2 linked regions of the Coturnix japonica genome follow. The protein of the gene in region 2 interacts with the protein of the main gene of each other region in a pairwise test. Links are inferred from orthologs where the notes say so. Each region holds a gene or a part of one and is shown on either strand. Other genes may lie near its edges.

What was found.
Region 1: the proteins of SIAH2 (region 2) and USP19 interact in a two-hybrid assay, tested with the Homo sapiens proteins (2 studies listed by BioGRID). The link is inferred for Coturnix japonica from reciprocal best matches to the Homo sapiens genes SIAH2 and USP19.

Annotation. Positions count from the first base shown.
Region 1 is NC_029527.1:9,095,584-9,111,085, reverse strand, and holds the end of USP19 (ubiquitin carboxyl-terminal hydrolase 19), read right to left. Parts: intron 15,224-15,502; coding exon 15,095-15,223; intron 14,530-15,094; coding exon 14,396-14,529; intron 14,076-14,395; coding exon 13,668-14,075; intron 13,368-13,667; coding exon 13,100-13,367; intron 12,961-13,099; coding exon 12,804-12,960; intron 12,702-12,803; coding exon 12,630-12,701; intron 12,173-12,629; coding exon 12,057-12,172; intron 11,782-12,056; coding exon 11,567-11,781; intron 11,301-11,566; coding exon 11,099-11,300; intron 11,017-11,098; coding exon 10,883-11,016; intron 10,732-10,882; coding exon 10,573-10,731; intron 10,480-10,572; coding exon 10,369-10,479; intron 10,257-10,368; coding exon 10,146-10,256; intron 9,989-10,145; coding exon 9,887-9,988; intron 9,530-9,886; coding exon 9,389-9,529; intron 9,142-9,388; coding exon 9,023-9,141; intron 8,789-9,022; coding exon 8,651-8,788; intron 8,540-8,650; coding exon 8,175-8,539; intron 7,501-8,174; coding exon 7,390-7,500; intron 6,902-7,389; coding exon 6,685-6,901; and 9 more. Other genes in the region: sodium- and chloride-dependent creatine transporter 1-like, read right to left, coding at 99-178, 276-476, 798-879. UniProt on the Homo sapiens protein: Deubiquitinating enzyme that regulates the degradation of various proteins by removing ubiquitin moieties, thereby preventing their proteasomal degradation. Stabilizes RNF123, which promotes CDKN1B degradation and contributes to cell proliferation.
Region 2 is NC_029524.1:20,981,670-20,997,880, forward strand, and holds SIAH2 (E3 ubiquitin-protein ligase SIAH2), read left to right. Parts: upstream 1-8,691; 5' UTR 8,692-8,800; coding exon 8,801-9,202; intron 9,203-12,040; coding exon 12,041-12,598; 3' UTR 12,599-13,492; downstream 13,493-16,211. Other genes in the region: ERICH6 (glutamate-rich protein 6), read left to right, coding at 15,276-15,372. UniProt on the Homo sapiens protein: E3 ubiquitin-protein ligase that mediates ubiquitination and subsequent proteasomal degradation of target proteins.

The sequences.
Region 1 (15,502 bases), on a different chromosome or scaffold from region 2:
TCCAGGAAGAAGACGGGGATGCCGCCCACGAAGACGATGAGCAGATAGGGGATGAGGAAGACGCCTGGGGGGGGGGACGCGGCCGTTCAGGGTACGGCTCAGCCGTGCCGTCCCCCCCTCGCCGGTCCCCCCCGCGCCGCCCGCCGGGCGCAGCGAATGGCGAGCGTCACTCGGCGCACTCCCCCTCGCCGCGCGCCGATGTAGGTCAGGGCGGGCAGGTGGCGGACCCCCACCACCCCCCCCCACACACACACACACCCCGCGCCGGGGCTCACCTCCTCCATTGCGGTAGCACAGGTAGGGGAAGCGCCAGACGTTGCCCAGCCCCACGGCGTAGCCCACGCAGGACATGATGAAGTCCATCTGCCGGGTCCATGTCTCCCGCTCCGGGGCGGCCGTTCTGGGGGGGCCGGGGGCTCCCACCAGCGGCGCCGTCACCGTCCGCTCCTCTCCCGCCGCGGGGGGCTCGGTGCCCTCTGCCGGGACACGGACGGGAACTGGGGGGGTGGGGGGGCAGCGCCGCGTCACCAGCGCTCACGGGTGGGGAGGAAGGGGGACGCGGGGGGGGGGGGTCCCCATGTCCCGCGCGATCCCCCCCCGCGCCCCTCGCTCCGCGCGTGGGGGCGTGACGTCAGATGTCAGCCCGCCGCGTGACGTCACAATGCGAGCGGTGACTCACCCCGCGCGGGACCGGAGGGGCGCGCCGCGGTCGCGCGTCGGCCGTGCAGGCCCCCCCCCAACCACCCCCCCCAACGCGCACCGCATCCCTCCCCGGCCCGGTTCAGCCCCGCTCTTACCGGAGCCCGTCGGGGCGGCGGCGTCGCGGCTCGGGGCGGCGGGAGGCTGCGGGGCGGCCGTGTCGGCGGGGACGGGGGGCATGGCGCGGGGGGCCGGGGACCGGGGGCGGCTCGGGGGCGGCTCCGTGCCCGGGGGGAGCTCAGAAGCAATCCACGAAGCACTTGAAGGTGAGTCGGAAGAACCTCATTGAGGGCGGCGGGGCGCGGCGGGGCGGGCCGGGCCGGGCGGGCGGCTCAGAGCCGGGCTGCGGGGCCGGCGCCGCGCGGCCGCTCCGGGGCTCTCTGCGCCGCGGCACCGGGCGGCGGCGGAGGCAGAGCCGGGCCGCGCCGCCCCTCGAGAGCCATTGGCCGCGCCGCCCGCCCGCGGCTTGCCGGGACTTGCAGTCCGCCCCACCGGCACCGGGACGCGGGCACCGGGCAACGGGACGCAGCGGGTGACGGGGCGAACACGGGGTGAACGCGGGGCGCTTGGGGCGGCAGGGCGCCCCGGGGGACGTAAATCGATACGAAATTGAAGGAGGAAAAGACCTCTGAGATCACCTAATCTGATTGCGATTGCAGTTCAACCTTCAGCCCACCCCCACCGCGCCTACCGAGCAACGTCCCCGGGCGCCACATCCACCGCGGTGCTCGGGGCCGTAGGGCACAGCGGGAGACACCTGGGTGCACGCGGGGACACGGGGCACGAGGGCACATCGGGTGTTCCCCGACAGCAGCGCCACGATGCACCGGCACGGCGGGTGACAGCGCCGGGATGATGCTGCATGGCAACGGGGGCTGTAGGGAACACAGGGGGCTGTAGGGGACACTGGGGCTGTAGGGAACACCGGGGCTGTAGGGGACACCGGGGGCTGTAGGGGACACTGGGGCTGTAGGCAGCGCGGTGGACACGCAGTACCCGGGTCGCAGCCCGGGGCGGGCAGCAGGCAGCAGAGACGAGCGGAGTTCAGCAAGTTTAATGAGAGCAGGACAAACCCCGACCCGTGCCCGCCCCCCACCCGTCCCGGTGCCCAGCCCGGCCCGCAGCCCCATGGCGGGTGCCCGCGCTGCTCTAATCGACTTCTTCCATGCTGCTGTAGGACGGCGCCGGGCGCTCGGCGGGGCTGGAGAAGCGCTCGGGGAGACCTTCCGCAGCCAGCGGCGGGGCTCCTTCGGGGGCCAGGCCGGATCCGAACGGCACCGCAGTCAGTCCCTGCAAGCAGAAGGCGGCCGTGAGACAGTGCACGACGCTGCATACCGCTCTACTCCCACTCCGCTCCCGGCAAAGGCCCCGGCTGGAACGCAACGAGCCCGGAGCGGCCCCGCACACGGCCCCGACCTGCCCGAGCGCTGCAGCCGGGCTGCGGCACGCTCAGCATCGCCGCTACGCGCCGTCCCGTCCCGCACCGCCGCCATGGGCCGCTGCGTTCGGTCCGGGTCCGCGGGGCGGGAGCGGCAGCACGGGACGGAACCGTCACCTGCGGTTGAGGCAGGTGCAGGGAGCGGTGCGTGGCCTCGAGCCCGGGGCGGCAGCGCCAGGCGGAGCAGAGGTCACCCCGCAGGCGCCGGGCGCTGACTCAGCCCCACGAGGGCAGCGCCGTGGGCGCGTGGGGGCCCCAGACCGCAGACAATGAGGCGACTGTTCCAGGGCAGGAACGTCCCGACGGCGGGGAGCACCGGGCTGGGACCCGTGTGCAGGAATAAGGGCCGGGCAGCACAGCTGTACGACGAGGACAGGGATGGGGGGAGGTGGGGGGACTCCAGGGGCTGCACTGCCCCGCTCCAGCCTCCCAGCGCTGACGGGGCCCCGACCGTTCCCACTGAGCATCCTTCCTGACACACACAAGGGCACTGCCGGCAGGACGGCAGCGGAGACGGAAAAGGAAGTCACAGGGCTCTGAAGTCACCTCTCAAACCCAAACACTCCCGAGCAGCCCGAGCCTCGCTCAGCCAAGGGCAACACGTCTCAATGTCACGCACCGCTGCAGCTACAGGCCTTGCCCCAGCCAGGCAGTGCTGTGAGCTGCCAGGCCCGCCGGGCACCCAGCACGTGCCACGGCTGTTGCTACACACCTGGGGCCCCTCGGCACAATCAGAGCTCAGCCTGCACCCCGCTGAGCACAGGGCAGCACCTCAGTGCCGGCTGTGCTGTGAGACCAGCTCAGGGGCAGGGCAGGGACACTCCATCCAGCTGCCCTTTGCACTGGAGCAGGCTCGGCTGCAGAGCCTCTGGCTGCTGCCACGGTCCTGTCACACAGAAGGTGCTGCAGCTCTTTGGAAAACCTGCCTTTATTGGCACACGCCGCAACGTGCAGGAGAGCGACGCTGCCAGCACAACCTCCCACGGGCCTCCTGCAGCCCAGCTCCTTCCTGCTGCTCCCCGAGCCCATGCCAGTCCCCCAGTGAGGTGCTGCCTCGTGCTCCCCCAGACCCATCCCATTGTAAATTGGGACTTCCAGATGCAGACAGGGACAGTTCAGGGAGTGCTGTGTGTGCCCCAGCACAGTCTGCCTGGGTGCTGCTCTTCCATGCCCCAGGGTGAGGAGCAGTGCTGAGGCCAAGGCCCCCGACTGAGCAAGGAAGTGCAAAGCACACGGTGACAAGTCATCCAGTCCCCGCACAGGAGATGATGCTGGCCTAGAGGGATACAGCTTCTGCCGGCTCTTTAGAATGTGAGGCTCCCAAAGCAGGGAGCAGTGGGACCAGCGATCGTGTCAGGGCATCCTGCTCTCACAACAGGCTCCGGGCAGGGCTCTGCTTGTTGCCAGGATGTTCCCAGTGGCAGCGGCACCGTCCTTTCCTGAGCAGCATGTACCACTGGGGCCAGCCCCGATCCAAGCAGGCAGCCAGGGCGAGGGCGGGCTGAGGGGATGCTGGTTCTGGGCTGTGCCCTGGCAACGCTGGGGGCCGGCCACGCAGCCCTGCCAGCTGGCATAGGGGATGCCAGAGCAGACAGACAGGAGCCGACAGCCCCAAGCTTCCCTCCGAGAGCATTGGTGCCCGCAGCAGGCGTGTCCTTCCCACAGGGTTCTGTCCTGCTGCCCGCAGGGTTCTGTCGGGCCACCTGGCAGCTCTGACGTCTTCGTGGTGCAGCATTCTGGCACGGCGTGTGCCCCGGCAGCCCTGCTCTGTTTGCCCACACCTATCTCCAGCGGGTTTGGTAGATGAGCGGGTAGAACACATTCAGGAAGAGAGCCACGATTGCGGCCGTGGTGGCCAGGATGAAGTATTTGATGCAGCCTTCGTCTGGGTGTTGGGGGGTACCCGGACTCCTCTTCTGGCCACGGGGCCTCCAGGAGTTTCTTGCAGGCCTTTGGGGAGCCTCGAGCTGCAGCTCTTGTTCTTCAGCCTCCAGTTCCTGCCAGATCAGAGAAGCCTGCGATGTGGAAACCTGCGTCAGCACTTGGAGAACACAACTGGCAACACCCCTCGCCATCCCCCGGGGCAGGCGGCCGCCTGCGAGCCCAGTCCCGTGCCCCACCAGCCCACCTCCCCATGCAGCACGGTCGCACCCGCCCCCACAGCTCCTCAGGCTGCTCTGGTGGGTGCAGGTGATGCAACAGGAGCAGTGTCTTTGCAGGAGCCAGCGGCTGGATCCCTCTGCAGTCGATTCCGTGGCACTGACGGATCCATGCGGGTGAGGGGGCGGGTAGCAGCCCATCACAGCTCAAGTCTGGTGATCCCAATGCGATTGCTCAGATGATGCCAATTCAGAGGCAGCTTGCATGGCAGGAGAAGGAGGCACGGTCGCAGCACAACCAGTCCCAGCTCTCCTCTGGTGGGTTGGGATCCTTTGAGAGCCAATCACAGCTCAGCTTCCAAGAGGATTATCTGCAGGCAGCCGGTCACAGCCCAGCCCTTCCCAGTGCTGGTGATCACGCAGGGCAGCCAATCAGGACACCGGGTCTCTGGAGGATGCAGGTGATTCCAGGCACTTGGAGACCACTCAGCCCAGTGAGATCCAACACATCCCATCACTGTGCAGGACACAGTGCTGCTGAGGTCGCAATGAGCCCCCAGGGATGCAGCGAGGCCAAGTGCTGCAGGGCACACAGCGGTCCCCAGCACGGCAGGGATCCCACAGCCAGCACAGGACAAGTGGAGCAGCCTTCCTGTGGCTGCTCAGCACACACACCCTTGTGACAGGAGCAGCACCGTCCCCCAGCAGAGAAGGCAGAGCCAGGACACCCAGCCCACGTGAGCCAGAACAGCTTGGATAGCCAACCACAACGTCCCTATGGGGCACACGTGTTCAGCTGTGCCACAGCCAAGCACTGTCCTCAGATCCAACGAGGCCAGCACAGAGCGGACCCAGGGGAGCCTGGCAGGCAGGTGATTTGCTACACCACCAGCCCAGGCCTTTCTTTCTGACACTTCTGCAAAGATCAGTCCAACCATGCCCTACTGATGAGTGCTGAAAGCACTCTTTCTGTCAGCGCACCCTCCTCACCCTTCCTGCAGCACAGTGTGCTCTGGGCAGTTTCCCATCAGCATCCCGCAGCTCACAGGCCTCTGGCTCAGTACTTGCATTCACCTTTTCTGCAACTAGAGCAGCCCCATCCTGGGCCAGAGCAGAAAACATCCCCACCCTGTCCCCAGGAGGCCGTGCCTCCTGCCACAGCCAGCTCCCATTCCACCGTTCTCAGCCTTCCTCAGTGCAGAGCCCAGCAGGGCACAGCCCCCTCCTGCCCCTGCAGCTCTGTGCCCTCCCACCAGCACTCCCAGCACAGCGGCTGGAACCAGCTCTCCCACCCTTTAGCGACAAGACTGTTCCGAGCTCACAGCCAGAACAGCGCAAGGCAGACCCCAAAGCCCAGCTGGTGCACGCTCTTTGGTCTCAAAGAGAGGTGGCACAGCACCGCAGCGGTGCTAGGCTCCACGGGGTCCAGCAGGTGGGCACATGCATATTTCAGGGCTCTGTGGCTCCAATACTGGAAGGGACACAAGCTCTCACCTGACTGGCAGCAGCTTCAGCAGAGGGGGTGCGCTCGGCTCGGTGGTCTGGGGGGTGCCCTGGCAGAGGTCTCTCCACAGGAGAGTTCCTCCGGCGGTAGAAGAGGACATATGCGTATCTGGTTACCACCTGGCTCTCGTCCACAGTGGTGACTGTGCTGTCATCGAAGAGCCGCCAGCCTGAGAGGAAAGAAGGGTTAAGCAAGGAGACCGTCCACAGCTGCAGGGGAGGGGAGGCCGGCGGATCCTCACCCACGTCACTGCGCTGGCTGTTCTTGTCGTTGGGCAGGCGGGCATATGCCGTGTAGTGCCCGCCAATCATGCCTCCATAGTGATTGATTACAGCATACAGGTCATACATAGGCAGCTGTTGCTCACCCTTCCGGCCGATGCAGAATTTGCTTAGGTCCAGGCTCCTGAGGACAGACACAGGGCTGGTCAGGGATCAGCCGGGCAGCACAAGCAGTACTATCCCCAGCAATCCATCCCCTGAGCTCTCACCGGACAGGGAAGTCAACCATATCATTGATCTTGTCCCTCCAAATAAAGCTGCGGAAGGAGAAGCGCTTGAGCTGGATGATGAGGACGTTGGGCAGGCGCCACAGCATCAACTGCTTGGAGGCCTCGCGGTGCTGTTTGCACTTGGGGCAGTACCTGGGAAAAGTATGTGTTCATTACCAGCATGTAGAGAGCCCTGGGTTTCTGAGCCCAGCCCAGCCCTAAGCTCCCCCGACGTATGGATGTGGCAGAGGAGACAGGAGGTCTCGGCCTCCCTGCCAGAGGCAGGACAGCACAGCCCCGCAGAGTGCTGGCACTGCTCCCTGCTGGCTTCTGGCCCCTTTCCCCAGCACTCCTGGCTGCCGGGAGAAATGTCAGGCAGGACCAGGCAGCTCCCGGGAAACCCCCGCTGCTGCCTGCGCCTGCAGGCTGGAACCCGCCACGTCGCCTTCCTCACCACGCTTCCTCTGGGGCCAGGACTTCAGGCTTGGTGAAGAGATTGAGGCACTGCTCCAGGGTGAAGTGGCCAGCTCGGGCTGCTTCACTGGCTGAGCTCGGATCCTCCACGCACTCCAGATCCTTGGACTCCACCAATACAAATTCCTTGAGGCGCTCATTGTTCTTCCACACCAGGGCAAGGGAACAGTCATCCGTCAGCTCCAAGGGGGTGTCACCTGCAAAGGGGCACACACCTCAGCCAGCTGACCCCCAAGCCCACCCGGACTAGACTAGGAGCAGTCTTGCCCAGCCCAGTTTTAACACAGCACAGCCAAGAAGGTGCGAGTGGTCCTGCCACACACCCCCACTGCCGAAGCTAGGTTCTCCGCCCCAAAGGGAATAAAAACAGCATCTATTCAGATAGGAGGTGATCCAGCCACACAGATCTCTGCTCCTCTTTGAGTGTGGGAGGTCGAAAGGAACCGGTTTATTTGCTCAGGGGAGTAGGAGCTTGAGAAGAGCTTCCAAGGAACAGGCACGAGCTCTGCACGGTGCAGCCCTGCCCTCCCACACCAGACACAGCTTTTGCTGCACAGCCTGGGGCTGATGGCATACCTGGGCTTGCTCTGGCCCTAGGAGCCTCTTACACCCTGGCCAGATAGATCCACTCTCTGCTAAACGCCACGAGGGATGAAACTGGATCTCCCCAGGGCTCCAGGCTCACCTTTATCTTCCAGCTTATACTCTTTGTTGGCAGCATCGATCTTGTTGATGTAGAACTGCGTGGCACGGGCGCTCAGCGAGTCTGGAGTGTGCTGGTACCCAGGGATGGCAGCTGTGGATAGGCAGGGACATATCTTTAGTGGCACTGCCTGTTTGCCCTGCGTAGGGGCCAAGAATTTGCAGTGCCCCCACCCCCATCTCACATGCTACGGCCTTGCAGGGACACAACCACGTGCCCAGTGTCCTTGACTATTTTTAGCAGACGCCTGCCCCTGGCAAGCTGCGCTCCTCTGCCTGCCTTGCCCCTTCACTGCACATTGCTGCCATCCTGAGACAAGTGTCTGGAAACGTGACAGCTGGGCGCCCAAGTGCAAGAGGCTGCTCCTGTGCAGCTGAGTCAGAGCGAGGGAAACATTGCGCTCACAGCCCCGAAGGGCTCAGCACTGGGCTCTGCCCTCCCACGAGACTCAAGGCTTCTGCCAACCCCTGCCTCCCCACCCCTCCAGCAGCCCAGACTCTTTCCAAGTCAGGTCTTTGCTCTGTTACACAGGCCCTGCCAGGGCAGGGCAGAGCGTGGGCTGTTAGGCATTTCAGGTGGGGCTGCACTTCTAAAACATGGCTCCCAGAGCTCCCCATTTATCCAAAGGGGTCTCCAGACCGAGCCGGGTGGGGAAAACAGACACTGTGGGCGAGAGGTGATGCCAACGAGGGAAAACTGCTCCCTGCCTTGCTGGGGGCTGCCTGGGCTCCTGGCACAGACAGGGTTAGCACCGCAGCACCTCCTACCTTCTGGTTTGAGGGCTCTCTCGTAGGAGGGCTCTTTCTCGCAACAGCTGTCACCCTGCGAATCCATGTGCTCAGAGAAGCCCGAATCCAAGCTCAGCAGGGAACTCCTGGCAGCCAGGACCTTGCTCCGAACAGTGCCAGTGTCACTAATCTCCGGGTGCAGCTCAGGCACAGCTGGTGAGAGGGGAGGCTCCTGCAGGAGGCCAGAAGCCCTGTCCCCGTCCCCCAGCTCAGGAGCAGAGGTGGCGGCGGCACAGCTGCCTTTGGCCAGGGGCTCCAGCTTGTCTAGGAGCAGAGGCTGAAGCCCCTGCTCTGGTGACATCCGTCCCAGCTGGAAAGGAGGCTGAAACACGCTGACCGAGTACCTGAGCAAGAATTGGACAGTTACAGCAGGCCAGGTACAGGGCTGGGCTCAGCTCAGCTCCTGGCTGTGCTTGCTGCTGTGACAGAAGCACCTCCCTTCCCTGCACCCTCACCTTGCGTAGCCCTCCAGCAGCTGCGCCAGGCGGGCGTAAGTGAGGCGGGATTCCGGCACACTGATGAGGAAGGGGAAACCGATGTTCTCAGGGCGGCACAAAGCCTTGTGGTCTGGCCAGTGTGTCTTCTGACACGTCCTGTAACACATAGAGCCCCAGTGAACCCAGTGCCTGCAAACAAACAGGCAAGACCTCAGCAGGAGTTTGGTGGTGCTCAAGAGGTGTGTCTGGGACAAGAGGAGTGCTGCAAGCCAGACTGGCTCCTTCCCAAAGGCCAAGCCCATCCCACCTCCTCCCAGTGGGCTGAGTGCTCCCGCTCAACCCTTCACAGCTGGAGACCCTCCCTCCCTGTGAGGCACCAAGCCAACTCACACGTTGCAGTAACCGACTCGATAGCACCTCGTGCAGCGCCTAAGCTTCTCTTCCTCTGACAGCTGCTTCTTCTGGCAGGCTGCACACTTGGCGACAGGGACACTAGGTACCTGTGGGCGCTGCAGGAGAAAGAACCCATTGGGCATGGCAAGGCACCTGGGCAGGATAAGGTAGCCTTGTCAAACCCCTGTGCTTCCTGCCCATGGTAGAAGTCATTCACCAGGATGGGCAGCCCTTTTCTGCAGGCAGAGTGCTACCAGGGCCATGTGCTGGGCACACATCAGCCAGTATGCCAGACTTGTGCAAGCTAGCACTGCTCTCCCCATCCCGCTCAGCCTCCTGGCAGTCTCAATCCCTGCTGCTTACCTGCTGGACCTGCAGCTCCACAACCCGCTCTTTGGCCAGCTCTGTGGACAGCACCTCGAAGCAGAGCAGCAGGTCTGTGGGAGAGACTGTGTCCAGAGACTGGGACGGCAAGAACATGCGTTGGAAGCGATTCTTGATTACCTGCCGGGAAAGCAGTGGAACAGGACTGTGTGAGGGCTGCCTTGTGCTCAGAGGGCTGTCCAACTTTTCCTCTCCTGAGGAAGCCACATAGTGAGCTGTGGAAGCAGTAGCATCACAGTGATGGTGTGCTCTGCCCACCATCATGACCTGGTATCTCTGCCTGCTGCGCTGCAGAGGCCCAGCTCACTTGAGCAGGATTCTCCCTGGCAGCACCTCGTGTGTGACACTACTACCCACGGACAAAACTCACCCCATGGACAAGAGGCTGCTAGTGGCAATGTGTTCAGCACAACTGTGGGACCCAGGGGCACCCACACAAGCAGCCCACAGCTTGGTGGTCAGTTTTAGCATTCTCACCTCTGCTAGGCGCAGGTTGTCTGGTTTCACATGCACACTGTGGGCCACCGAGTCGAGTACTTCCATGGCACTGGAGTTTTCCTTGCTGATACTCACGAGGAACTGCCACAGTGTAAGTGCCACATTAGTAATGCCACATTAAGGCATGCAGGCCCTGGCTTAACACAAGGTTCACAGCCCACTTGCACAGGACCAGCTGCCTATGGCACCTCCAAGAGCCCCCTCAGGCTACCTCCCCAAAGTAATTAGTGTCCTTTACCTTGATGGGTTTCTTGTGCGGCTCCTTTGCAAAGTAGTAGACAGTCAGCACCTTCTGCTTTTGCGGGAGGGGGACTGGGAGGTACAGGAAGGGATCAAAGGTGATGGACACCTGCAGACGAGAGAGCCCACTCAATATTGGGAATTGTTTATGTCTGAGATCAGCAAGGCAACAGTCTCAACAGACTGGAGATCCAGGGGCACAGCCAACAGGGCTGCTCTACCTTGGAACAGACTGGGCACACCAACTTGGATTTGTACTGGCCCTGGAATAGGTCCACAATGAAGGAATCATTCCTCATCTTGTGTCGCTGCCAGGCCTCCTCAGCTACCACCTGCGGAGAGAAAGGGCTCAGCTAAATCACATGGGCCAGGGCTGCTCTGTAGCAGCCAGTGCTCACAATAGCCTTGGAGACAGACATCCTCACCTCATCAGGCCTCCCGTCTGAGTCAACAGTTTCTGTGTAGGGTTTGTTCTGGATGCGATTGAGATCTTCATGCAGGCCATCAAGCAGAAAGGCCATAAACTCTTGAGCATCGTGCTGGGCATAGCCAGTGAACTGGCTGGCCTTGCTGGCCACAATTGCCTGTGGGGAGCACAGTCTTCAGCCCACCAGCAACACTGCTTGCCCCATACTCAAAGCCTGGCTGCACCCAAAGCAGCAGAGCAGCACAGAGAAATGCTGAGACCCACAGCTGAGGACAATGCAGCAGCTCCCACAGAACACTGGTACCTACCTTCAATTTAGAGGGCTGAAAAGCATGGTGTGTGCCTTTCCACAGTGCTCTCAGTAGCATAGCAAAGCCAATGGCCAAGCGTCCCCCTGTCCCAAGGGGGTTGTTGTAGTTGATTTCAGACTCAAAGGATCGATCTGTAAGAGATGAAAGAGAGTGAGGGTGGCTGCTGGCTGCACAGAGTGGCAGGGCTTTGCTGAGCTCCAGGCATGTGCTCACCATGGAAGTAGTCACGCAGCTCCCGCGTGTTGGACAGTGACTGGATGACACTGTTCATGAAGCAGGTATTGCCCAGATTCACCAGCCCCGTGAAGCCAGGCAGGCACACCTTCTTCTTCTCATCTTCATCCTCATCATCTTCCACACTCTCAGTGCTCACTGGGCTGTGTGTCATCGGTGGCACCATACAAGTTGGTTTGGGCTGCCAAAGCAAAACTAAGTGTGATGGTGCTGTGTACTCGGGGGTCTCTGGAAACATCCAAGCCACACCTCATACAGGGCTGGGCTGAAGCCATCATCCACCAGAACAACTGCTGTCCCCAGTTCTGCCAGCTATGCCAACTCCTCCCCCAGGAACAGTCTGCCAGACCCCACAGCAGCACCAAAGGAGGTGAAGCCCAACCAGAGGGACAAGTTGATCCCCACTTCCCCCCACAGCCAGGTCAAACACAGTATAGCTCCACTCACCGAGGGGATGTGCGGCTCTTGCTTCACTGCCACGTGCTCTTGGGCTGTACGGGCTGCCACACCATCCAGACTCCCATCCTCGACACGTGGCTTCTCTTTCTCACTGGTTCGGGCCTCCTCTTTGCTGGACAGGGGGTGCTGGTTACTGCCTGGAGGGGTCTTATCCAGAGGGGTAGGGCCTGTAGGCATGGCAACCTTTGCACCACCCACTGCACCTTAAAAAGGGGGAAGAGTGGGCCTGTGGTTAGCAGCACCGTGCACTGCCCACGGTGGGGCTGAGCTGTTTGCTCAGCATCTTGCCTACTCCCACCTTCCAGTGCAGGAAGGTGAGCAGCAGTGCCTTTCCTGAGTGACCGGATTGCCTGCCCCACAACCCTCCCTCCCCATGATCCCATTCCAGAAGACCCAGTGCCTTCCAGACACTGCAGGTGGCAAGGAAGGCACTAGGTACAAGCAGGCAGTCAAGACAGAAAGAAGGCAGGGTGCAGACCTCGTGTGGCTGGAGCCTCCAGCCCTCCCCAGCGCTGGCTATGGCGTTTCTTCAAGCAGACATCAATGCGAGATGCTGTGAAGTTGTATGTGCACTGGTCTGGCTCAATAAGGTTCCTGCAAAACACACAGAAATTGAGGATCATTCCAGCCTCCCCAGCAGCCTCAGAGATGCTGAAGTCTGCAAGGCAGGGCCACAGTTTCCCAACTGGCATCGACCCTGAGGGGGGGCTCCACAAAGCAGTACAAATGCCCTCAAGTCTAGCCACACTGAGCACACAGGGGACCTGCCTTCTGGGAGATCCATTCTGCCTGGTTCATATGCCCAATCTAGTGGGATGTCTCAGCTAAAGCACACGCAGCCTGGTCTGGCTCCACCCCCAAGAGCTCTAGATCAGGCTGGGGAAAGACTGCAGATAATGGAGTTTTATTCTCTGCAACCATCCCAGGACTGTGGTGTTAGAACAGTATGGTGTGATGGAGACACTCAGGTGCAGAAATCAGTATGTCCTGGAACTGGCTCCTGCTCTCAGCTTCCTCATCTCAGTATAAGCAGGCAGGATGGAAGCCATACCTGAGCTTCACCTGCCACCGGAACACTGTGTGGGGCCCACAGCCAGGATGGAGGCGAAGGAAGTTTATGTCACTGCAAAGAAATAAGGAACAAGTGAGAAAAGGTGAATAAAGTAGCCTGGCAACAGCCAAAAGCTTCGCATCAGCTTGATTCCATTCAAAAGTGCATTTGTACCTTGTCTGGAACACCAGTGTGAAGTCTTGCTCCCGGAAGAAAACCTTGGAAGTCTCCTTATGAATCTCCTTCACATAAACGTGCACCACCACCAGGTCATTGCCCTTCTCATATGAGTCATACTTGACAAAGGTCAGGCTCACAAGAGGCTCTGGCTCTGAGCAAGGAAAGACATGAGCAGAGATCACCTTCACTGCACTCCAAGGCAGCACTGCAGGTTGGCCAAGGAGAGGTCCTGAGCAGAGGAACTTTCCCAGCCATGCCAGTCTATAGATACTGACCCCTGGGCCACTCACCATCAGCTGCTGCTTCCAGAGCCACATCGTCCTTGGACCAGTCCCTCTTCTCTCCATCTCTGCCTAGGGGACGTGTGGCTGATGGGATGGCTTTAGAGCTCTCTCCCAAGACTGGTGCACTCTCCCGGCCCCGTGAGGCTTCAACAGGGCTGCCTGGCTGCAGGACTCTTTTCTCTACACAGGTGGCAACACAGTGGGGGAACACCTCTGTGGTAGCAGCAAGTGGTGGCATCTCCACAGGAACAGTCTCCTTGGCCATAATCACAGCCTTTCAAGACAGAATGATAGTGAAAAAGAGATAATTTGACCCCTTGTGCCACCAGTTCAACACTTCTCCACAGCCTGCTGCTGTCAGCCAAGAAGGGACAGTCCCACATAACCCACACACCCCTGTCTTAGCACCCTTAGCACTACAGCCTCAGCCCAGCAACTGAAGGCTCCTTGCACCTGTAGCATTCATTCCCAAGTCCTAGCTTATATTTCACCCACCCTTTCTCCCAGCTAGGCCCACACCAGCCTTCAGCACCACCAAGGGTCCAGGAACCCATCTCATTCCATAGCAACATACCTTCTCTAGTGGTGGTGCGAGGTCAGTCAGGGCTGTAGGCCCATCACCCTGGCTGGCTCTGCCATTGCGACGGCTGCCTGACCTCCCGCCATGCCCTTTGCCGGGCTCCACGCTCCCGGTGACTCTGGTATTTGGCTCCTCTTCAGTTGGAGCCACTTTGAGGTATACTGCCCGCTTGGCGCTGGGGCCACTCTGTGTCCCTGGGCTGGCTGGGCTTTTCCCTCCCAGGGCCTCGCTTCTTCCCTGAGCACGCTTGGGGTTGGAGGGCTCTCTGCGGGTTCTTGGAAGCTCAGTGCTTTCAGTCCGTGGTTCTTCAGGGGCCAGTTCTGCAGATGCAGCCTTCTCCTTCCCGTTCTCCCAGCACATGGCCCCTTTGCCCAGCTCTTTGGATCCATCTTTCTTTCTCTTCTGTGAAAAGTAGTGCAGCACAGTGGGAACACAGCCAGGAAGCAGTACCTGTCTTGCTCTCTACCAGCCCCTCACCCTTACTCCCCCTTCCCGGGGCACGCCAAGGTTCTGTTCCAGAACCCAGAGGCTGTGGCAGGAAGGACAGGGACATGACAACATGCCCTCCCTTGGCTCAATGCCCTCATGCAGCCTGGGGATGCAAGATGTGTCCTAAGATGCTCCCTGGGTCGGGGCAGCTCTAGAGCAGGGAGTGAAACCCTCACCCAACTCTGCCAGGCTCCATACAGTTGCCTGAAAGGTAGAGGTCCCCTCGCCCTCACCAGAAGCGAAGACCAGGTGTGGAGCGGGATCTTCTTCTGAAGCACAAGCTGCAGAAAATTTCCCTTTTTGCACTGTATCTTGCTGCAGGAGCCCTCAATCTCCTCATAGAACTGACAGCTCCACTGGCGCCCATCTGCAAGAAAAGGGGGGTGGAACCTCAGGCAGTGCAGCAGGCATCAATATACTCTACCCATAGCCCTCCCTCACCTGCCTCAGGGGCCAGGAGAGCTCTTGTCTGAGAGCCAAAGAGGCTGCAGGCAGGCTGCCACCACATCCCACGAACTTTCAGGATGATGCCAGCTTCATTGAGTTTGCTTTGTACATCTGGCTGGCCTCCTTCCCAGAGGGAAGGTGCTGGGTCTCCCTGCCCTCAGGGGCATGGACACTTCTGCAAGGGATACCCAGCACCGACTCAATCATCCCAAAGGGCAGAGCAGTGATGCATCCAGCACAGCAGTGGGCACCTGTTCACTTGGCAGGGAAAAGCCAGCTCCCACCCTCCCCAGCCATACACCCTTCTTCTTTTACACTGCCCTCGTATCAGCCTGGCCTGCTGGCTGAAGCTGTGCCAGCTGACAGCGGGGCATTGCCTCTGAAGGAAAAGTTTTATGCTCGTCTGGATCAGTCCCACATCCAGTCCACAGGCGTGCCAAGCCCTGCTGGAGAAACATTTGCAGCAGTCACTCCATTCCCTGTACCTGGTAGTTTGATCACACAGTCAGTATCGGTGAAAAAAGTATCCACGTCCTCCACCTTCAGAGATCCACTTCCCAAGTTCAGCTTGACAATGATCTCATCAGCATTCTGCTTCCAGTCCAGCAGCAGCTCTAGGAAGAGGAAGGGAAGCATCAGCCACTTGTCCAGCCAGAGTGTGTGGCCACAGTGCTCACATCTGAGCTGAGGAGTGTGAGCCCAAACACACATCTGGTTGAGGACATCAGGACAGAGGACACAGCTCATAGCAGTGAATGAAAAACAATTGTAATCTACTCGTATCAAGTCACAAACAAGGACTTGAGCAGCAGGTTGCAGCAGGTCAGGTGAATCCCAGTGGGAACCAGAGAGATCATGAGGCAGAAAGGCTTGGCCCAGTCACGTGCAGCAGC
Region 2 (16,211 bases):
GCAATGTGCAGGCAGGACCATGATGTGCGCACCAAGGTGCAGGCGCCCATCTGTGGCCACAGCTGCTCTCTACCCACAGGCTCTGCAGACGCTGCTGTTTGGGAAGGATTCATGCACCTTCAGCCAGGACTGGGCACGAGCACACTTCAGGTTCCGTGAGCCGCGCTCTGATCTGGCCTATGCTCTGGAGGCTGAGAAGGTAACGCTGCAGTGCGACCCACAGCCACGCTCCTCGCAGTGCTCAGCAGGATGGATGGGCTCCGGTGCAGATGGTGGAGCAGCTTTGGGTGGAATGGCTGCTCTGTTGCAGTAGCGGTGCAGGCGTGAGCAGAAAACACCACGGCATTGTGTGCTTGCAGCAGCAGCAGCCGAGCGGCACAGACCTGCACTGCCCACCCCTCTTTGTGCATCTCCTGCCCCTCACTGCTCCACATGGAACTCAAACGGGTGCAGACACCACTCTGGGTGTTGCGGCCACCCCCCAGGGATGCAGCCCCACACAGCACAGCACCAGGGCTGCTGCGGGTGCTTCTTGCACAGAGATTTCCTATTTTTTAGGCACATCAGATATTTTTCAATTTATTTTCCCATTTACCTCAGAAGTCATTGGCCATTCTGAATTACCAGGGGAATGCAGAACAGCTCCCCATGGGGCAGCCAGCAGCACAGCTCAGAGCTGTGCTTTGCAGGGCTGCACCACATGCCAGGTGGGCTCACAGACACCACCAGCTGCTTGCTTTGTTTCCAGGGAGGAACGAGAGCCATCGTGATGGCTGTACAAGCAAACATCATTAAATACCTGCTCTTCACAAGGAACACGGAACACAGTCACCTGGAGAGGTAAGCTGAGCCTTCCTGGGGAAATATACAAACCATTTCCTTGCATTGTTTGAACTAAAATAACAGCACCAGCCTCTAAGTTGTATCAGACAGAACATAACCAGGTTTGCAGATGCAGATGGAAATATGCACCTGCAGCAATGACGTGCCTGGCTCCCTCCTTGTTGCTGTAGGAGTGAGGCTTGCTGCCTCAGTGCAACCTCTGGTGTGACAGTTGCTGCCCAGTATCAGGCTCCACCTTCGGGCATGGGGACTCGCAGCATCCTCAAGGACATACCTACAACTGTTGGTGGTATGGGGCTGGGCAGGTGATGGGGACATGGGCACAGGGACACAGGGACACAGACCCCTGCTGCCCCTGCCCACACCTGTCTGCTGTGCTCTACTCTGCCCTGCGCTGCAGACTGTGCAAAATCAGCCAGAAGGAGCAAGGAGAGGCCCTGGCTGCAGCGCTGGCAGACAGCCTGTGGGCAGCGGGGGACGGTCGGAGAGCCACGATCTGCATCCTCACTGCAGCCACACACTGCTCCCCTCCTGCGGGCTCCAAAGCTAACAGCTTCACTGAGCAGGTGGGTATGGAGATGCTTCCTGCAAATACGGCTTCTTAAAAGACATCTGGTCTGAACTGCCTACAGACCAGAAACATCTCATTAGCCTGCTCCTACCTTACAGTGCACCACATAACCTAAGAACATCGGAGCCATGTCCAGGTGGGGCTCGGCAGGTGTTCCTGCCTCCTTTTGAAGGCCTGACTTCTTTGTAGAGCTCATTTGTTTAACTCTGGTCTTCCTTCTGTTAGAAGAAGGAACAAGTTGACTTAAAGCCTTTCCTTAACTTCTATCTGTTAACTGCTTGCATAAAACTGAACTCTGCTGTTCAGGAAGGTCAGTGTGGGTTCCTGTGTTTGCCTTTCATTTGGAAACACTGAGCTGAAAAATTTCACTTCTGGATGTTCCATCTGCTCTGTGGTTCCTCACCTCACACTCCTGCCCTACAGATCCACCTGTTTGAGTTCCCCGAGAAAGCAGCAGCTCAGGAGTTTATCTTTGACCATATTGGCTGTGTATGTATGGAATATCATCTTCTTTTAATTTTGTTTTGGTTTGTTTTCATGGCAAATTGGCAGCAGCTTGTACTTGGTTCAAACAGGTTTCTTGTACCTTTAGCCAAAACCTGGAAAAACAGACTAAAATAGGTTGGCCAAGAACTGGAAGTTTCTTTTATTTCATCTGATTTTAATCAGCAAAACTGTAGCAAAGTCTTCCCAGAGTAACACCCCATTCACTGATCTCACTGTGTTCACCTGGCATTGCAGTTAAGCAGAGGATTTGCTCTAATTAAGCATCACATAGCCACTGTAATTCCTTCCCTGATTACTTCTTTCATTTCTCCAGTTCAGAGATGAAGGAAATCATGGACTGATCCTGTTTTTATACAGTTTGCTCTTCTCCAGGACGCTGGAAAGGTATCTTTCTTTTTAAAATCATCTTTGCCATTTTTCTCTGGTTACATCTTTTCTTCCATTACTTTAATGCTCTGTCCTGGGCTAACAGGGAGCAGCTGGCTGCGTGCTGAGGAGAAAGGTGCTGCTGTCATACAGCATCACTGTGTGCTCGTGCTGACACGACTGGCAGCAGCAGAGAGAAGCAGACATGCAGCTCTGTGTGCAGCTTCATATGCAGCTCCGTGTGCAGCTCCATGGGCAGCTCCAGCTGCACACAAAGGAGGAGCAATGCGCTGTGACAGAACAGGAACTATCCCACAGAATCATAGCTATGCTGAATTTAGAAAAATCACAAAAGCGTCACTGTGTTAGCAGGGGAAACTGAGAGAATCTTTCTCAAACTGATGTAAAACGATCTGTGCAAAGACACAGATCAGCAGCTGAGCTGTGCCCATGTCACACCCACGTGCCGCTGCGACCACAGCTCAGCAAAAACTGCAGTGCTGCTGCAAATAGTTGCACTCAGGTTAAACGTGGGTGTAACTGGAGGCTTCCCACAGCTGCACCGCAGAAGGAGAGCTCAGGTAGAGCATGAGGCCGCTGCATTGGGACACTTCTGTCATACCAGTGAAAAAAGAAAACGAAACAATTCTGTGCTATTTCTTCCTGCTTTCCTTATTGCTCACACGCGGTGCGCGCAGCTCCCACCATCACCGGTGTGTGACAGCAGCGCTCCGTGTTTGGCTGCGCAGGGTCCGGGAGGAGCTGGGCGGCACAACGCCACATCTATTAGAACGCAGCTCTGGAAACGTGGTCTGCACGCAGGTAGGATCAGCCCGAGCTGCCAACAGACTTATCGCTGTTACCTACGTGTGATTTAGGAAAGCACCCCGCTTGTTCGTCAGACAAAGAGGGTGGGCTTTGCGTGCGGGCTGTGCGGGCGGTGCGGGGGTCGCGCAGCTGGGCGCTGACAGCGGCTCCTCCCGCAGGCTGCGCTCCTGCTCGTCCTGTCGGGCAGCGCTCGGCCCGGGCAGCGCAGCGAGGTGGGATTCCTGCGCTGGGGCGGGGAGGAGGCCGAGCGCCGCCTGCCCCCGGTAAGTACCGCCGACCCGGCCCCGCATCCATCCACCCGCCTGCCCTGACCCCATCCCGGCACAGGCACCTGGGGCAGCGCGTGGAGCCCCCCGGAGCCACGGCACCCCCGGGGCTGCTGGCTCGGGACCCCTGTTCAGGGCTGCTGTGTCACACCACCTGTCACACCCGACCATCACACAGATACAATAAGGGCAAACAGCCACAAGGCACCTAAACCTGGCACAGCAGAGCACTGAGGAGCCCTGGCAGCGCTGAATGCCCACCGACCATTCTGCCCCTAGGTTGGCAGCATGCTGAAAACTCCCAAGTTCCCCGTCTGGTTGTGCAGCATCAATGGGACTCACAGTGTCCTTTTCAGCACCAACCAGCTGCTCCTGTCCGACTGGAAGATGGAGCACGTCTTTCACCTGTACTTCTACAACGGGCAGAACAGGCAGACGAGAACAGCCCACCTGACCGTAGGTGCGTGCCCAGCCCGCCCAGAGCACTGCACTGCGGGTGTCATGTACAGATGTGTGCATGTCCAGCCCCACACAGAGCCCATGCTGCAGGGCACCCACACACTGATGCACACATACAGCACACATCTGTATTTCCCCACCCAGAAGCAAAGTGCCCCCAGGCACCTGCATTCACCTTGAGCCCCACATACCTTCAGAACCGTGTTTCACTTCAGATACCCACTCACATCACTGGGAAGAGGGCCGCTGTGAGGCCGTGAGCAGCCCAGGGAGGAAGGTTCCATCGCTAGAGATGGCCATCAGGACCAAGTGGCCAGGGGCAGCTGTCAGATGGAATGGCACCCAGCCCTTCTTCTAAGCTGCCCTCCGCCCCAGCACCACCACCAGCACCAGCAGCTGGCACCACCACAGCCCTCAGCTGGAGCTGGCAGGGGAAAGGAAACAGCATGGCAATGGGGTCATGTCCTCCCAGGCACAGATGTTCAAGAAATAAAAGTCTATCATGAAAGTGCTGACCAGTGCTGACAATACTGTGTGCATCAAAATCATTTGGCCCAGTGTGAACATCCAGTTCCACCACTTACAATGACCAAGGTTTGCTCCCAGCCCTCCATACCCAGCCCCCTCCTGCTGCCCGCAGCAGGCACAGACCTGACCCGCAGCATCCCACAGGCATCTATGCAGGCCATGCGCACCACCACGTTACAAACTGTTCCCTGCTTCCTTTTTTAGACCTCGCCCAAAAAAGCTGTTAGTCATACCAAAAATGTGTGCTGTAATGACAGCTGTCTAGAGAACAATAAACCTTCCTGACAGATACCCGGAGATTCAGACCCCTGGATGAAAAATAGAAAAGGAAAAAAAGAGGGCAGTCAGAACCAGCCTGCAGTGGTGCTGGGACAGGAGACGGGAGCTGCTGGGGCTCTGCACTGCTCCCTGATCCCCTCCTGACATTGCTGCTCAGCTCACAGCTCTGCCAGTGCCCAGCAGCATCTCATTGTCCCTGCTGGGGCTGTGCAGTAGCAGCTGTACCAGGACAGACAGAGCCCTGGTGAGTCATGTCTGGTGCTCAGCGCTGCCATGCGTGGGGAGGAACCACACCACAGCCCAGGGCAGCACAGGGTGGCTTTCAAGGCAGGTCAGCTTATTGATACTTGAGAACACCTTGTCAAGGTAAGGAAGTCAGTGTTCATGCTAAACAGAGCATACTTATTCTACCTGAGGAATACTCGTATGTGCTCAGGCAAACAATGGATTAATAAAGCACGAACAGAGACATGAAATAAATGCCAATCAGGTTTGACTGACCAGCGCTGAGGGGCGTGCTGCATGGCCAGGCATGTTGTGTGGCAGTGCCAACTAAATGAGTTCCTATGAAGGTACAAAGGTGCCGAAGGACACCATTCAGAGCTGTGTTCCAGGTCAGTGCAGCAGCAGTGGTCAGAGCACAGCTGGCAGCACTGGGCCCCAATGCCACGTCCTGCACACACAGCTGCACTGAATGCATACGTGGGTTCAAAAGAAACAGGAACAGAAACGTGCTGCACCAGACTGAGGAAGCAGCCCCACTGCCTCCCTCGGGGCTTCACCCTTCCTCCCTCTCCCCATCTCTGTCTGTTTATAACCTCTGTGCAGTGCAAGGCTAAATTTAAGACAAAAGTTCCCCTCAAAGAAAAGGAAGCCCTTTCTGCAAGCTAACAGCACACTTACAGATGCTTTAAAAATAAGAAGCAATAACAGCAGTCTGGATGATGGTTAAACTTGGTTGGAAAAAGCAGACAAAAAGCACAGATGAGAGAGAGGAGAGCTCAGCAGCTCTGACACCTCACAGAGCCCCACACTCATAACAGCTCAGCTGCAGATTTTCATTTCTAGCCTGGAAATGTCTTTGCAGAAAATGCACAGACCCGGCACAGCCCACACAGCAGGTGCTGACGGACACACGGATAGATGGGGTGGGGGCTGCCTGAGAAACGGCCCTGAGCCTTGGTGAGGCACCCAGGAAACAAAGCCAGATGTGTGGGTGAAACTCACAGCACAGCACGGCACCTCGTGTGAGTCAGCCTCAGAGACGGCGAGTATCGGAGCCTCACAGCAGCTACAGCACCGCACCTGGGAGGGACAGGGGCAGGGGCACGGAGACAAGGGTTTCCCTGACGGGCCTTGCGGGGTCTCCAGAGAGCTCTGCCAGCACCTGCAGGCAGCAAAGGAATCTCAGCTCCTCCACCGCTCCCCTCGCAGCCCACCCTCCTCCTCCCATCTCCAGCAGCTTTGGATTGTGGTGGGAGCACTGCCCAGCTTCACGGTCCTGAGCACCTTCAGGGCCATGCCCAGCTTTGGGGCCATGCCCATACTTTCAGTGCTGGGTTTGTGGGACTTGGAGGTCAGAATGCAGCAGACCGTTATCAGATATTTATTACTGCCACTCATAGCCTCAAAATGGCTTTACAGACCGCAAGGATCAATCTCCCTGATCCTCAGCATACAAAACCAAACATATCAGACCATAGTTGTATGTTGTTCTCCTTTTTGCTCTGAGCCTGGCTGTATATGGAGGGCACAATTTTTAAACCCAAATTAAAAAGCCGATGCCTGTAACAAAATGAGAAGTGCACCAGGTGGGCAGCGATGCCCCCGCAGCAGCCACGGCCCATCCAGGGTAATTTGCTCCACGCTGTGGCTCTGCAGAGCACCCCTTTGCTGGAAGCACAACTGCTGGGCAGAGTGCCTGTAACCCAGGCACACCCTGATAGTTTCTGTATGTTACTGCTGTACATTTAACGGCAGGCTCTGAAGTGCAAAAAAGAGTGGAATAGCCACATTCTAGCACATAAATAGACATATAAAGTATTTAAAACTACTCCGTGGAAAGTACAGGAAAAGAAGAAAACCACGGGTTTTTTTGGTATAAACACCCACCCGTTCCAGTGTGTTTGTGAAAAGGCCGCTGTGTTTGCTCTTTCCTGTACTGCAGAACACACAACAGGTCACAAAACCAGGACGGTTCTTCTATGGGTAAAAATGAGACATTGTCATAACGTCACGGGCTGGGGGAAGCTTAACGGGCGGTGATCAGAAGGTCATGGTTGGAACATCAGCATGTGTGTATGAGACGTTCTGCTTTGAAACAAAAGGACACACACACGGAGCTGTGCTGGGGACCCCCCTGCCCCACAGCCCCATGTAGGTTTCTCCCAGGCCGGACAAGCACACACACACCACGTCCAAAAACTGCTGATTTCTGTCTGCCCCACTCCGCTGTTACACTCCATTTGTTTGGGGGTGGGGATCAGAAAAGGCCTCTGCACCCCAGGATTTGGAGAGAACCTTGGGGTCCCTTTATTCTCAGAGCTCCAAAGAACTTCCACACCTATGTCAAAGACTCTCAAGAGAGAATGGCAGAGGAAAAGCAGCATGTTGGCCATGTAACTCAAGAGAGGACAGAGCACAGCACAGCTCACCCCACACTATGGCTCGTTCTGGCTTTGCCGTGGCACAGCCTTCAGTGTGTCTGAATGCACTGCACATTACTGAGTGCCAAAGGAAAAATAAAACCAGAGCTGCAGTCAAAGCATTGTTCTCTGGTACCTTGGACTGCATCATCTTGCAAAGCTCGGCAGTGCTTCACAAGGAAGAAAAAAGCAGAACTCCACTAACACTGCACCTCCTTTTAATGAGAGCACGGGCAGTGTCTCAGTGGAACTCCTCGCAGGGCGCACAGCCACCAATGAGTCACACATGGTGCACGCCCGAGCAGCGATAACAGCACCATTCTGGGAAGTGCAGCCACACCTCGGAGGAAAGCGTTGCTCATTTAAGGGCAAGAGGAGTCAAGTCAGCAGCAGAACTCTCGGGAAAATGCTGTATGTCATGTGCCCGATGAGCTGACGGGGAATTCAAACCACAGCCCTGTTCATGGCCGCCCCGTCCGCTGCGCTGCTCAGCGGCACCACGCAGCGCTTTGTGCGCCCAGAGCCGCATCCAGCCCGGCGCAGGGACAGACAGCAACCACGGCAGCGGGCAGGGAAGCGCGCAGCTTCAGCCCCGGCTCTGCCCGCTTCCTTCTTCAGCCCCGCCGGCAAATGAAAGGGACGCGGGGACATTCCCACCCCCGGGCCGTCCTCACTTCTCCTCCGTTACCAAAACACAACGCGTTTAAACCGGTGTTTTATTTTCAACATTCTGTTACGGGGGGGATGAAAACAGCCCCATTTCTTTTACCCGACCTCCGCCCCCAAGCAGCGCTGCAGCACTGTTCCATTCTCCATCAGACCCATCTCTCATCGTTCCGTCCTCCCGCTCGCTCCGCTCTCACGCCCCGTCCCGTCCCCGCGAGGAGCCGCGCTCCTCCGCCGCTGCTCGCGCTCAGCACGGCGGCTCAGCGGTCCTCACGAGGGCCGGCACGGGCAGGGATCGGGCCCGAGCCCACGCGGATAACGGCGCCCGGTGGGTTTCCTCAGCCCCGCGGGGCGTCAGCGCCACCGGCGCCCCTTCATCCCAGCGCGGCCGGACGCGGAGCGCAGCGCCCTCGGTTACCGCAGCGCCCTCGGTTACCGCAGCGCCCTCGGTTACCGCAGCCCCGGACGGGCCCGGCGGACGGAGCCGCGTTCTCTCCCGGCATCGCAGCGTACCGGGCGGGGCGGGGCGGTGCGGGGCACGGTGCTCGGGCCGCCGCTGACCGCTCCCGAGTCTCGCCCGCTCCGTCCTGGCACCGCAGCCGTGGGCGCGGCGCTCCCCTGCCTCCTCCTCCTCCTCATCCTCATCCTCCTCCTCCTCCTCCTCCCCCGCTCCCCCCGCCGCCCCGCTCCGCTCCCCGCCCCGCCCGTCCCCCGGAGCATGCTCGCTGCGGCGGGGCCGGGCCGGAGGCTGCGCGCGGCCGCCTCTTGCGTCAGCGGAGCGTTCCGGGCGGGCGCGTCGGGTCCCGAGAGCCGCGGCCCGATGGTGGCGGCAGCGCGGCGCCATGAGCCGCCCTTCGTCCGCCGGGCCGGGCTCTAACAAACCCTGCGGGAAGCAGCCGCCGCCGCACGCCCCCGCCCCGGCCGCCGCCGCGCCCGCTCCCGCCGCCGCCACCATCGCCGCGTCCGGTGCCGGATCCTCCGCCGTGCCCGCGGCCGCCGCCGTCCTCTCCGGGCCGGGCGGGCCCGTGTCTCCGCAGCACCACGAGCTGACGTCGCTGTTCGAGTGCCCCGTGTGCTTCGACTATGTGCTGCCGCCCATCCTGCAGTGCCAGGCCGGGCACCTGGTCTGCAAGCAATGCCGGCAGAAGCTGAGCCTCTGCCCCACCTGCCGGGGCTCGCTGACCCCCAGCATCAGGAACCTGGCCATGGAGAAGGTGGCCTCGGCCGTGCTCTTCCCCTGCAAGGTGAGCGGACGGGGCGCCGGGTTGGACGGGACCCCCTTTCTGCTCACAGCCCTGCTCCTATTTCAGACGTGACAAAAACAACTCGTTTTCTCTCATCGTTGAAATAAGCGCAAGTGGTAAATGCGCTCGTAGGTACGGAGCTGACTTAATGCGGACACAGGGCGGGACGCAGGGCTTCATCTTTTGGAAAAGAAACCTCGCTCTTCGCAGCTTCCATAGGAGCAGCGATGCTCTGCGTCCCGAGAGCTGGGGCAGGGTTAGGGACACCTCCCTTAGGGAGGGTCCTGCTGAGATCCTTTAACTTGTCACCTCTGCCTGGAGCTGCTGCCCCATTTCTGAGCCTTCTTGTGGTTCTGATCCCTCTGAAGAAAAGGGAATCCAGTGAGGATTCATTTCGCTGTACTCTTTATGTTTAGTCCGAGGGCAAGATGTGGAATCCTTTCTGCACTCCACATCCAACCGTAATGTTTTGCTTTTAGAACCACTAGGCGTAGTGAGGTTGTGTATCCATTGAAAGGGCTCCGGCAGCATCGCACTGAGCGCTGCCCCCTTCGGCCGGGCGCAGGGACAGGCACTGCAGCCTCGGGCCGCCGCTGCTTCGCTGTGCAGCTGGGAGGGAAGAGCAGGGATGGACTCAGCGTGTCATTCCCGGCTCTGCTGCAGATTTCCCCTGCAGCTTCAGACAAGGTGCTTTAATCCCATATACACCCTGCCTTCATTCACTGACCTGGCTCTGCTGAGCACCTTCAAGCTTAGCCAATGTTTTCAGAATGCTTTCAGGCACTCACATTACCTGTAAGGGGAAGTCCAGGGTAACGCGAGTGAAGTGACGTACATAGCAACAACACGGAATGCTAAGTCATTATGTGGTGATGGCTGCAGGGCTGCCTGCTTCCTCTTAGGAAGGTGAATGTGGTGCAAGTAGTGCTGTGACGAAAGGTACTCGTAAAAGTGGAATGCTGGGAGCGAGAGAAAGGCAATGTGAGAGCACGGAGCAGTCACATCAGCTCCGGCATTTGTGGTGCACCAGCACTGCCTGCACCCTGCGCTCCTGCCTCAGGAAGGACACAGGAGAAGTGGAAAAGGTAGAGCCGTCAATGAGATGGGCGGTATCATATGACCTGCACGCAGGGAAAGACCAACAGGCTCTTTGGTTTGAATGAGGATATGGTAAATATCGGTGACATGTGCCAAACAGCATGAAGGCAACAAGTGCTCTGTGTTCCCAGAAGATCTGTGAGAGTCCCTTACAAACCCAGAGCGCTCCGTGAATCTGTTCACAACCTCCTGCTCACCAAACAAAACTGCTGCTGTGTGTTCAGGAGCCAACAGAAGGAGGTGGGTCACAGCAAAGGAAAAACCACAGCTATTTCCTCAGCTCTCTTCCTTGTGTGTTCACCACTGGTCACTTTCTGATACAGGCTGACACTACGCAGACGTTTGCTTTTGCCCATCCAGCAGCTTACATGTTCTTACTGCTTTTCTAACAGGGTCAGACCGAGAGCGGTTCTTCAGCAAAGTGCAAAGCGATTACATTGCCAACAGGGGTATGAATGTAGAGTGAAAACAGCAGAACAGTGAGAGTGGAAGCATAGAACCCAGCGGCAGGGAGCCGTGCTCTGCATGGTGGGTTTCTGCCTGCAGCAGGAGGAGCCCTGGTTGCACCGCAGCACACCTCTGTGCTCCTGTCACAGGTGGATAAATCCTGTCACAGAGGATTAAGCAGCAGAGCACACGTTATGGCTTATAAAGCAAGCTCTGTAGAAGCACAAGGTCTCGTTTCTGTCCCAGCAGTTGTAGCACTGTGCTGCAGTGTGGGTGATTTGGCTGCAGTAAGGAGGACTGTGGCGTCTGCATCTCAGGCATTTCACTCTTTGAGCTGAAACTAATTGTGTTTGCATTTAACCCCAAAATACGCTGTTAAACTTTGATGAATTTGGACTTTGCTTAGTTGAACATTTTACAAAAAGTCTGTCCAGACTTGTGTTTCCCCAGAGATTGTCTTGTTCCTTCAAACATTCTCTCACCTTTGGTCTCAGAGCACAGTCCCTGACCCAAAGAAGCGTCCTACCTCCTGTAGGCAGCCACACGTGGGCTGTGATGGCGGGACCGCATGAGCAGAGTTGCAGAAGTCTCTCCAGCTGTCTGCAGATGGGGGGAGCTGTGCTCCTGCTCAGAGCAAAAGACGCGTTTCTCCTTAGAGGTAGTGAGGAAGAAACGTGTTCAGTGCAGACAGCGACTCGGTGTTGAAAAGGAAAAGCATCCCTGTTTGCTGAAAGCAGATTAACCTTTGGAGGTGCCCGATGACATTAAGAGCAGTCACGCGGTGCTCACTTGTGATGAGCTCTGTGCTCCATAAAAAATCAGCATCTCTCTTCCCACTCTTTGAAACCGTGGTGCTAAAACTTGGGATCGTGGGTCTGAGTTTAATGGAAGTAGGTCTGCTCTGTGTTTATTAAAGGATGCTGTTGCAGTAGCTGTTTGCTGAGACTGGCATCCTGTGTGCTTTCTAAAGAGAAGAATCCATACTGGGACCACTTCAGCTGATGTGGACTGTTCAGGTCTAACTGCAACAGCAGATGATCTACAGCTCAGCCTTGTGGTCCATTTCATCTAAGTGCTTGCATTTAAAAAGCAAACAAAAGCCAACAGCTGCCAAGTACTGGAAGAACCTGTTTTTAAGAGGAAACAAAAATAAGCCCAGCTCTGAATCCAGCACCAAATAGAGGCGTCTCAGTAAGAGTTGCAGTGAAAATGAGAGTTGTGGTTGGTTGCAGGGGGGGCAGTGAGCACTTACGCTGGGTGGTTCCTGACGGAGTCTGTTTGCTCTTTTCCCAGTACGCCACGACAGGCTGCTCGCTCACACTCCACCACACAGAAAAGCCAGAACACGAAGACATCTGTGAGTATCGGCCCTACTCCTGCCCGTGCCCCGGCGCCTCCTGCAAGTGGCAGGGATCCCTGGAAGCTGTCATGTCCCACCTCATGCACGCCCACAAAAGCATCACCACCCTTCAGGGAGAAGACATCGTTTTTCTTGCTACAGACATTAATCTTCCTGGTGCTGTTGACTGGGTTATGATGCAGTCTTGCTTTGGCTTTCATTTCATGTTAGTATTGGAGAAACAGGAAAAATATGATGGTCACCAGCAGTTCTTTGCGATCGTACAGCTGATAGGAACACGCAAGCAAGCAGAAAACTTTGCCTACAGACTGGAGCTGAACGGCAACCGGCGCAGACTGACCTGGGAGGCCACCCCGCGCTCCATCCACGACGGGGTGAATGCGGCCATAGGCAACAGTGACTGCCTTGTTTTTGATACCGCTATAGCACACCTTTTTGCTGACAATGGGAACCTTGGAATTAATGTGACCATTTCCACGTGCTGTCCGTGATATATTTGTGTAGTTAGCGAAACGTCGGCGGTCTGGGCACAGTGCTTTACGTTACTGAGGATTTTCTTTCTGTTCTGGGTTTTTTAGATGCTATTCCGCTATGTCGTTGTGTAAGTTAAGGTTCCTAACTAGCCAACGTTTTTAAATTTGGAGAGAAGAGGAACAAGTGTGTCCTGTAAGGAATATAAGTGAGGAGAGGTTTTCTAAATTCTTGGGTGCCTTAGGAAGATTTTCCCCACACACAGACACCTTTTTAAATGTAATTAATTTAAAGAAAGAGTGCTTCCATTAGACATGTGGCGTGAGAGATGTGAAAGACTGCATTCCTGTTTAGAGTGCACCTAGAAGCCCTTTCAAGCAGGAAAACAGACTTGCTCTCACTGGTGAACTTCAGGAGTCCTTAGCAGGTGGGAAAAGAAGGAAATACAAGCAGCTTATCATAAGTGATGAGGCTCAAGGCATATCAGTAGGTACTTCAGCATTGCTACTCCATTTCCTGCTGCCTTATTTAAAAGGATGGGCGCTGGATCATATGCTGCCTTTTTAAAAAAAGAGTGGGGAGGGAGTGCTGGGGTGAAGCCCAGCAGGTCTCAGAGGAAATCGCTGGCTCTGGTCTGTGTGAGGGACACTAAGGAGCCCTGCACACAGCACAGCTGCTTACAACCAGCTCCTGGTCGGGGGCACAGAGCATAATATTCCCAGATAGCTAGAGCCAATAATACAGAAATATATTCAGGCTGTCCATGTGCAGCTTCCCTTGGAGACGTACTTGGTCACTGTAAAAGATTAGAATAATACAGCAAGAGCTTCATGGCCAGCGTCATGTCATTTGCTATTTAACTTCTGTTGCCATATTTACTTTTATTTTGTAATAAATATTTTGCAAAAACAACACGGTGCTGCATGCTGTCCTGCTGCACGTGGCGGCTGCTGCCAGGTCCCACTGCCAGCCCTGCTGCTGGGAGACCCACCCTGAAAGCAGCGTGCCTTGGGGGCTGGAGCTGCCTGCAGGTCCCACTCTGCCAACAGGAGCCTTTTCTGGGAGTCACTCACAAAAACCACAATCTCTGCATGTCTTGGCTGAGCAGCGAGGTGCCATTTAGAGCCACTGAGCCGTGAGCTGACACACAGCTGAATGACCTGGAGGCGGTAAGACTTGCAGCAGTGGAAAACTACATGTAAAAGGGCAGATGGAACTTGGTGTGAATAAACGTAACACCCAGGGAGGAGTGCTGCTCCCAGCCACGTGTGTTCAGGGAAGAGATCTCTGGAGTTACAGCACAAAGCCCCATGCAAATGCCAGGCAGTGCTGGGCAGCCGTCCACAGAAAAGCACAAGAGAAATGGATGGAAAGCATCAGAGAGGGGAGGCTTGCTCTGTCCTTAAGATTTGGAAGCAGCTGTGGAAAAACCCTCCCAAGGAATTCCTCTAATCTTTTTGTATCCAGTTCCCATAAGGTGCCACATTGGATCTCATTTGCACTGTGCTAGCAGAACTCCAGCATCGGCCGAGCAAACTCACTTCTGCTTAAGCAGGATCAAACTCAGGCCCTGGATCTGATGGGAGTTAACACCTGTGCTTTGAGCAGGGCTTGTTAAGCACGATTTCCCAAGAGTTTAATTCATGTTCCCATATCTCGGTACCATTTATAGTGGAAAACATTTTTTCTTACTGAAAATTTGAGTTGGGTCTTAGCAGTTTCCTGTGTTAAACAACACTCCAAAGCAAGTCATCGCTATAGCGGGATTCACGACGTGGAATTAATTACTCCAACACTGCCCGTAACCCACATCAGATAATACAACATTATTTCACTGCTGTTTCCTCCACCATTCCTTTCCTCTGATAGAACAGAAACTCATGTTATATTTTAAAAAAAGCAAACCCAACAAAACAAGAAAAAATATGTTAAATAAATAAATAAATAAATAAATAAAATAAAACCCAGAACAAACCCCAACCCCCACAACACGCAGTGTCTTTAAACTGGATTTCTGTCACCCGGCCCAGGTGCTCCAGGTTTCCCTGCTGGCACCATCCAAGGCCACGAAGACAGGCAGGTGCTGGTCCGGACCATCAGCCGCCCGGTCACGCACCGCGGCAGCACCGGCCACCCCGGCACAGCCCCGCCACCGCCACCGCCTCCGTCCCGGCTCATCACGGGGCCCGGGCGGTACCCGCAGCAGGAGCGGTGCCCGAGAAGGGTTTTTCCATTGACGCGACGCATCGCTGGCAGCTCTTCCTAAGAGCATCCTCCGCTCTGAACAGCAGCGCAGGAGCCGCGGGGACATCCGCGCAGCCCCGCAGCCCCGCAGCCCCGCAGCCCCGCAGCCCCGCAGCCCCGCAGCCCCGCCCCGTGCGTCCCCCCGTGCTCCCCGCACCACGCGCTGCGCCACCGCCCCGCGTCACCACGGAGACCGCACGCGGCGCAGCAACGGCCGACACCGAGCGGGACCGGGAGAGCTGCTCGTACCGCCGGGAGGAGGCGGGGAGCAGCGCGGGGCCGAGCAGCCGCCGCCCGCTGAGCTCCCTGCGCATCCATCCCCTCGGTGCGCGCTGCCCGCGTTGCTGATCGCGTACGTTGGTACGTTGGGTGTGATACGATATTCTTCCAAGGCAGCTGCTTTGGAGTCGTTGCGCAGGATTAACACACGAGTTTCTGTCTCAGGGAACGGACATGGACGTGCCGGGCGGTGCCGGTGCCGGTGCCACACAAAAGCCGTCGCAGCAGAACGAAGCGAGCCGGCTCCAGGAGCAGGACTGCACAGAACCACGTAAGAACAGCCCGGTGCAGCTGCGGGACAGAGCGCGGGGTGGGGGGACTCCCTGCCAGCCCACGGCACGATGGACCCCAAGGAGCGGCGCCTCGGGGCTTCGGAATGGAGCTCACAGCACAGCAGCCCTTCAGCTCCTCCTGCCCGTCTGCGCTGCGCAGCCTGGGGCTCAGCAACCAGCCCCACTCACCGGCGGAGGCACCGGGAACACGGCAGTGACGGCTTCTGCCTGGTCCCTGCCCCTCCGGGCATCACCTCGAGCAGCCCCTGCTTCCCTTCAGTGCCGGGCAGGCCCTGTGGGGACGGGCAGCTCCTCGGGGCTCTGTGAGCAGCCACGCTTCATGGCACAGATTGACTGCAGAGGATGGCAACTCTATCTCCTTAAACTGCAGCTTCACAAAGTTCATACAAAGCAGCAGCCACATCCATCAGCTCTGACTGCCCACACAGCTCCACAGCACTGCGTTCCACTCCCTGCCCCGCATTCCCCACAGCCCCCACAGCTCAGGCAGGAATATCACCTCATCTCATCCAAATACACATTCTAACTTTCTCCTGTTTTCTGATAAGAAGGATTTAGGAGGGCGGTAGCAGATGCCCAACCACGAGACACCCCCTGCCTCCTCAAAGGCTGAAGCCCCTCCTCGCACACACACAGAGATGCAGAAACCAGCCCCCTTCCTGCTCCTCAGCACCACAGGAGCAGGAGCAGGGAAAGTTCCCCCAGGTGTAGTGATGCCGGACCCCTGGCCCCACGCAGCGGGTCTCCCCTGAGCTGCTGCAGCCCAGCACAGTCCCCAGGCAGCCCCAGGGGCTGTGCAAGGCCTCAAGGAACGTGG